Tribolium castaneum: one gene and its partner. The protein of the gene in region 1 interacts with the protein of each later gene in a pairwise test. Links are inferred from orthologs where the notes say so. Each region holds a gene or a part of one and is shown on either strand. Other genes may lie near its edges. The genes, in order: proteasome subunit alpha type-7-1 and trafficking protein particle complex subunit 13.

Region 1 (2,909 bases):
CAGCCTTACAAGCCCATGGAGGAGATAATCGAACACACGGACCTGAATTTGTCCGATTTTCACGTTATTAGCACGTTAGGGATCGGGGGTTTTGGCCGAGTTGAGTTAGTGCAACACTCGGGCAAAAAAGAACTCGTTTTCGCCCTTAAATGTATGAAGAAATACGTAATTGCGGCCCAGAAACACCAAGAGCTCGTTTTCAACGAGAAGAACATTCAAATCGTTTGCAAAAACAATTTTATCGTGCGCCTGTACCGCACTTATCGGGACAAAAAATTCCTCTATTTTTTGCTAGAGCCGTGTCTGGGGGGCGACTTGTGGACGCACCTCTACAAGCAAAAACCCCGCTTTTTGGACGAAAACCACGCCAAGTTTTACACCGCGTGCGTGGTGGAGGCCTTTAATTACCTCCACGAACGTCTGATTATTTACCGCGACCTCAAACCCGAAAATTTGCTCATCGATGCCAAAGGTTACGTGAAATTGACCGACTTCGGCTTCGCCAAAAAATTAAAAATGATTAAAAAATGCGTCAAAAAAACCTACACGTTTGCGGGAACCCCCGAATACGTCCCGCCCGAAATCATGCTCAATCAAGGCCACGACAAGGCTGTGGATTACTGGGCCCTTGGAGTGTTCGTTTTTGAGCTTTTGACGGGTAAAACCCCCTTCCGGACCGACGATGTCACGTACATGAAGACCTACAAGTTGATTCTGAAGGGGATAGATGATGTCGAGTTTCCGAAACACGTGTCGGTCGAAGCTGTTAAGTTGGTCAAAGAGTTGTGCAAGTCGACGCCGCCCCAAAGACTGGGCTGTGGGAGCGGCGGCATTTTGGACGTGAAAGGGCACGAGTGGTTTGGGGGCTTCGACTGGGGGCGGTTTGAAGGGGGCAAAATGCCCGCCCCTTTCAGACCCAATTTAAGGACGAACATTGACGTGCACTACTTCGAGAAGTTTGGGGCCGACGAGGACGTGCCCCCCGATGTGGCCGTAGACTGGGATAAAGAGTTTTAGAATTTGAATTTCCCGGTTTGGGTAATTCATAGACGACTGTGTTTTTCGAGTCGGTGCCCACGCTTTGAAACCTTTATTTGCGATTATTAATTTACCAAACTCATTTATTTACTAGCATCAGTTAATTAGTTAATTAATAAAGACAATAATATGCAATTTTCCCGATCATTTGCACATCCCAGGCTAGTAACGGACTGGGCGACTGTAATTTTCGTGCCGGGCCGTCAAACGTCAATTTTCTCGCAGTTACAAAGCAAAATATTATTTAAGGTTAGTCGTTTGAAAGTTATTTAAAAGCGATGTCTGCGAGGTACGACCGTGCTATCACTGTATTTTCCCCCGACGGCCACCTCCTCCAAGTGGAGTACGCGCAAGAGGCCGTCCGTAAAGGCTCAACTGCGGTAAGTGCCCCTAACCTCAACCCCCATGACCCAGCGTTTGCGTTCCCAGGTGGGCGTCCGCGGGGCGAAGGCCGTGGTCCTCGGTGTGGAGAAAAAGTCCGTCGCCAAGCTCCAAGAAGAGCGAACCGTTCGCAAAATCTGCCTTTTGGACGACCACGTCGTCATGGCTTTCGCCGGCTTGACCGCCGACGCTCGCATTCTGATAAACCGGGCGCAGATCGAGTGCCAGTCGCACAAATTGACGGTGGAGGACCCCGTCACGCTGGAGTACATCACCAGGTATATCGCGGGTTTGAAGCAGAAATACACGCAGAGTAACGGGCGGAGGCCGTTTGGGATCTCGTGTCTGATCGGCGGGTTTGACTACGACGGGAAGCCCCATTTGTATCAGACGGAGCCGTCCGGGATTTACTACGAGTGGAAGGCGAACGCCACGGGGCGAAGCGCCAAGACCGTGAGGGAGTTTTTGGAGAAGTACTACACCCCTGAAGAGGTGGCGGAGGAGAGAGGCACGGTCAAGTTGGCCATTAGGGCGCTGCTGGAGGTGGTGCAGTCGGGACAGAAGAATTTGGAAATTGCGGTTATGAGACATGGGGAGCCTTTGGTGATGCTGGATAGTGACACGATTGAAAAGTACGTAACGGAAATTGAGAAGGAGAAAGAGGAAGAGGCGGAGAAGAAAAAACAGAAGAAATAGACTTTTTTAATTACTTATTGTGGTTCATAAACTTTTTCAATAAATTTTTTTCGCTAAATTGAGTTTATTTAACCAACCAAAGCCATGACGCAGGTGATTATTTGAATGACAAGGTGAATCGTAATTAATAAAATCTAAAGTTCTTCAAACACAATACACTATTAAAGTGTTCATGTTCAGGAGGAGATTATTTTTGAATCAGAAATTATAGTCAAGATGAAATAAAGCCGGTCAATCTCTAGAAGTTTATTTTTAAATAAATGTTAAATAATCTTGTACAAAAAAGGTACATAAATCTCTCTACGAATTCCTTATGACAAAGAACTCATAAAACAAGAATCACTAGAATGCACTCAAATTCCATCTAAAACGAATGAAAAAATGAAATGTTGATGAGAGAAACCGAATCGCGTCGTGTTGTTTATATGGTGCGATGTCATAAGAATATTAAGTATACATATTGAAACAATACACAAGTGCAAACACATAATATCATAATTATTACACAGCATTCAAGTTTTATTACATTTATAAGTTATAATAATTGGCACTGTCTCTCGAAACATGCACACGAAATCAGTCGTCCTCGTGACCCCTATATACATAACTCTACAACATAAGACGTTCTAGTGAGCTGAAAAATTATCAAAAATGTCCAGTAATATATTATATTATGGCAACATGGTACGCAGGTGCTATATCAAAACGATGTGATCTGTGATTTACTCCTATATACACATCACGCTTGCACTCCGTTTCATCACTCGCACTGTGGTTCAACTAGACTAAAACCT
Region 2 (4,103 bases), on another chromosome or scaffold:
CTGAAGGTTTCCGGGGCCGATTTGGCGTAGTGGTCGATGTAGGTGAGCATTTGTTGGGCATTTGCCCATAGGTGGAAGAGGGACCATTGCCATTCGGGCACTTGTGAGTTGTTGAGGAGCGGAAGGGCGTCCAGGATTACCGTTCCGAGGTTTGAGAACGGGATCGAAACGCCGAAAATTGAGGCAAGGGTTGGGACAAGGCTGACTTGGCGGACGGTGGCGGAGGCGTGGAGGGAGGAGAGTTGGGTGTGGGAGTACACGAAGAGGGCTGAGGTGACTTCGTCGTCGGCGTCGCCCCCGTGGTTGCCGGTTTCGGTCATTCCGTGGTCGCCGATCACGAACAGCATTGTGCTGGGGTCTAGTCGCTCCACAATGCTCCTGGAAACAAAAGTTGGGTGAATAAATGCAAAAAAAAGCGAGTTAGGAAAAGTAAAAACTAGGTAAAATATTTCTTTTGTGATCATTTTTTGTGGTACAAACTTACGCAATCACGGTGTTCATTTCTGTCAATTTGCGCTCCATCTCCGAATGGTTGGGGCCGTAGCGATGGCCACAGTGGTCCACCCCCAAGTAATGTGCGATCAGAAAACTCCAATCATTTTTTGCCAATTCGGGGTAAAGGTGGAAATTGACTCCGTCGTCAACTGTGTCCAAATCCCAGACATCGAAAGAGGGATAGGGGTATTTCCTGAGAAATCTGTTAGGGTAGAGGCCGTCCCAAGTGTCGTCGCCGATCAAGACCGTGCTCAAGTTGTGCCTCAACAACTGAAACTCTCCTGTGATTTTAAACAATTATTGAAAATAGTTACAAACTTGGTCAATGATATTATCCTCGTTGATTTCATTCGTGGCAAAATTGGAGCCGGCGTCGATAAAAGTTGGAAGACTTCCCGTCGTTAGAGCTTTCAGTCTTTGCATTGTGGTGGTCGGGGGGTCCGCTATGAACTTATACAGCCGCGAATTGTCCGGTTGTTGCTTCAGCAACTCGTTTATAACCGGCAGCTTGTTTTGGAACGGCAGAGGGTTTTTTAAATTCTCGTCATAGAGTGCAAAGTCGTACCGCAGAGCGTCGATTATCACGAAGACAACGCGCGCTCTTTGGGGCAAGCAAATATCCGAAGCGCTGTTTATGTTTTGAAAAACATAGGATAGTTTGGTGTCGGCACTGCATTGCTGTTCGTGGGCACTTAAAGTCGTCGATTCCTTGTGAATGCACGGGATCTCGGACAGGGAGAGGCAAGTGGAGTTGGTTGTTTGGGCATTTTTGGAGAGGAGGAATCCGCGCGAAAAGAGCAAAATTGACGAGACTATCAAGTACGAGAACCATAGCATGAACAAGAAATAGCACCAGTGTTTGCCCATTGTGCACAAGTCATTTAGAAAAGTCTCGTTTGGTTTAATTTATAATTTTATCACTAACCCAACTTTTGAAATGTCACACTCCCATTGGGCGCTTTAACTACTCACTCCCTTTGGTCTACTCTCATTAACTATGACCAAATGGGAATGACCAAAAGTTTGGCCTCACACGGCAAATTTGTAAAATTGTACCATATTTTACGAAAATACGAATTTCTAAGGCAAACAAATTAATTCAAAAAATTAGGTCCGAACCACCGTAGACCTTATTCTATGACCGTAGACCGTTCACACCAACTTGTCAGACTGACGTTTAACCAAACAAATAACCTCCCCTAATTTTGCTAAAAATGGAGCCAGAGGAGCACTTACTGGCTTTGAAAGGTGCAAATGAGAGTTACCAAATTTTTGGTTAATATCTGCGGTTTTAGTTATGCGTCTTACGCGCCCCACTCTGGCCACTCCTCTGCCAGTGACTTGCGACAGCAAGGACTTGCCCGGTAATTTGCTAAATGTTGCCCTTCAGCAGGACGCTGCGTCGGTTAAAGGCACCGAAACGTTGTCTATAGGCCAATTTTTGCTGCTACCTCAAAGTCCAGTTAATATTTATTTAGGCGAAACGTTTTCTAGCTACATTTGTGTGTACAATGAGACTCAACACATTGTTAGTAATGTTAGTGTTAAAGTGGACTTGCAGACCACTTCTCAGCGATTGCCTTTATCCTCGAATCCTCCAACCCCTCAACTGACCCCTGATGACACTGTTAATATTGTTATCCATCATGAGGTCAAAGAAATTGGAAATCACATGTAAAGTCGCATTTATTTGTGCAATCTTTCACTACGAGTGGTTGAATTGTAGTTTGGTGTGTGAAGTGTCTTATCAGAACGCAGTAGGAATTCTTAAATCGTTCAGGAAATTTTTCAAAATTCAAGTACTTAAGCCGCTTGACGTCAAAACGAAGTTCTACAATGCGGAAAACGACGATGTTTATTTGGAGGCCCAGGTGCAGAACATCACCACAGGCCCCATATGTTTGGAAAAGGTGGCCTTGGACGCGTCCCACCTCTTTAAAGGTTCATTTTTTAATTGTGATAAGCAACCTATGTTTGTGAAATTACGTTGCCAACTTATTTAAGAGCACATTTGTTATTTTTGCAGTTACGTCCTTGAATGTGACACCAACAGGTGAGAGCATTTTTGGCAAAACAACCCTTTTAAACCCTCAAGCTGTTTGCCAATTTTTGTACTGCCTATCACCCAATGAAAAATTGTCTTCCGATTTGAAGAGTTTAAGTGGGGCCACAAACATTGGCAAGTTGGATATAGTGTGGAGGTCGAATTTGGGCGAAAGGGGCAGGTTGCAGACAAGTCAGCTTCAAAGAATGGTAAGTTTTTTTCAAAACTTGCCACATAATTTAAATGTAATGATTTATTTAAAATTCAGATTGAAAATTCTTCAAATACTTTAGGCAAAGTTAAGCAAATGCTATTGAAAATATTCTTTGAATAATTGTTTTGCTGTTTTGTGTTCGTAAGTGCTTAAACGTTTTCCAAATTGACTGGCGTGAAAAACTGCACTAACGAATTTTTTCAGGGACCTGATTATGGTGATATAAGATTATCGATTACCGAATTACCTAATTTCGTAGTCTTGGAAGAGTTGTTTGCGTTCAAATGCCGGCTGGTTAATAATTGGTAAATATAAAGTGCTTTCATTAATTTGTCAGCAACGTGAGCTATGATTTTAAAATTGTTTTTGGCATTTTAGCGAAAGAAGTGTTGAGTTAATGATGTATTTGGATAACTCAGATGGCTTGGCTTGGTGTGGCATTTCTGGCCGTAAGTTAGAAGTGTTGCCACCACACTCCACCCGAGTTTTAGAATTTAAAGCAATCCCCCTTATTCCGGGCCTGCGAACCCTTTCCGGGATCAAATTAGTCGACACGTTCCTCAAAAGAACTTACAACTACGACGATCTAGGTCAAGTCTTTGTGATAGTTAATGATAATGTTGGAAAAAGTATTTAATAAGTTTATTTAAAATAAATTGTTTCTTTAACAAAAATAGACTTTACAATTCGATAAACGCATCGGACGTTTCATCCAAAAACAGCAGCTTGAAAATATCGTTATAAAAGCCGGGATAATACTGACATGCCCGTTGGCAGTCTGGAGTCCAGTTAATTTCCAGCAATTTGGGCTGGATGTCCCGGGACTCCCCCCATTCCAGCATCAAATCAGCGGCGTACAAAGCCCGCGATTGCGGACTGTGGGCCACCCCACAAGGGGGCTCGTCCTTAACAGCCCCCTCTAACACGTTCCTAAGAACCCCCAAAATTAATTTTTGCACACTGTCCCAATCAAAATTCGGATATTGTTGCTCCCAAAAAATGCGAAATTCGGAACACAACATGTGCTTAAGCTGGACGTTTTCGTCGTAGTTCATCACAGTGAAGTGTTTTTCAAAGTCGTGAAAGTCCTTCAGTTCGAACGATTTGTTCGCAAAACGTACGAAAAACTCCCTGTAAACGTACGCTTTCAGCGGTTTCACACTTTTGAGCAGAATCACGTAACGAATGTCGAACTTAACAGGGCCGCATTCAGGCCGTTCGAACAGGACCGGGTTACTGATGTACTTCTGAGCGATTTTGGGCCCCGTTGCCGGGAGCCGCATGATGTAGTTGAGATTATCGGTGATGTGGATGTCCAGACTTCGGGCCAAATTGTACGGTTTGATGATC

What was found.
Region 2: the proteins of proteasome subunit alpha type-7-1 (region 1) and trafficking protein particle complex subunit 13 interact in a two-hybrid assay, tested with the Caenorhabditis elegans proteins (3 studies listed by BioGRID). The link is inferred for Tribolium castaneum from reciprocal best matches to the Caenorhabditis elegans genes pas-4 and C56C10.7.

What each region holds. Positions count from the first base shown.
Region 1 is NC_087398.1:3,892,441-3,895,349, reverse strand, and holds proteasome subunit alpha type-7-1, read left to right. Parts: upstream 1-1,222; 5' UTR 1,223-1,316; coding exon 1,317-1,418; intron 1,419-1,467; coding exon 1,468-2,115; 3' UTR 2,116-2,173; downstream 2,174-2,909. Other genes in the region: cGMP-dependent protein kinase, isozyme 1, read left to right, coding at 1-1,017. UniProt on the Caenorhabditis elegans protein: The proteasome is a multicatalytic proteinase complex which is characterized by its ability to cleave peptides with Arg, Phe, Tyr, Leu, and Glu adjacent to the leaving group at neutral or slightly basic pH.
Region 2 is NC_087396.1:20,515,818-20,519,920, reverse strand, and holds trafficking protein particle complex subunit 13, read left to right. Parts: upstream 1-1,583; 5' UTR 1,584-1,709; coding exon 1,710-1,743; intron 1,744-1,790; coding exon 1,791-2,169; intron 2,170-2,221; coding exon 2,222-2,436; intron 2,437-2,521; coding exon 2,522-2,748; intron 2,749-2,957; coding exon 2,958-3,058; intron 3,059-3,131; coding exon 3,132-3,390; 3' UTR 3,391-3,427; downstream 3,428-4,103. Other genes in the region: PIG-O (GPI ethanolamine phosphate transferase 3), read right to left, coding at 1-378, 485-765, 814-1,362; TTLL12 (tubulin--tyrosine ligase-like protein 12), read right to left, coding at 3,434-4,103.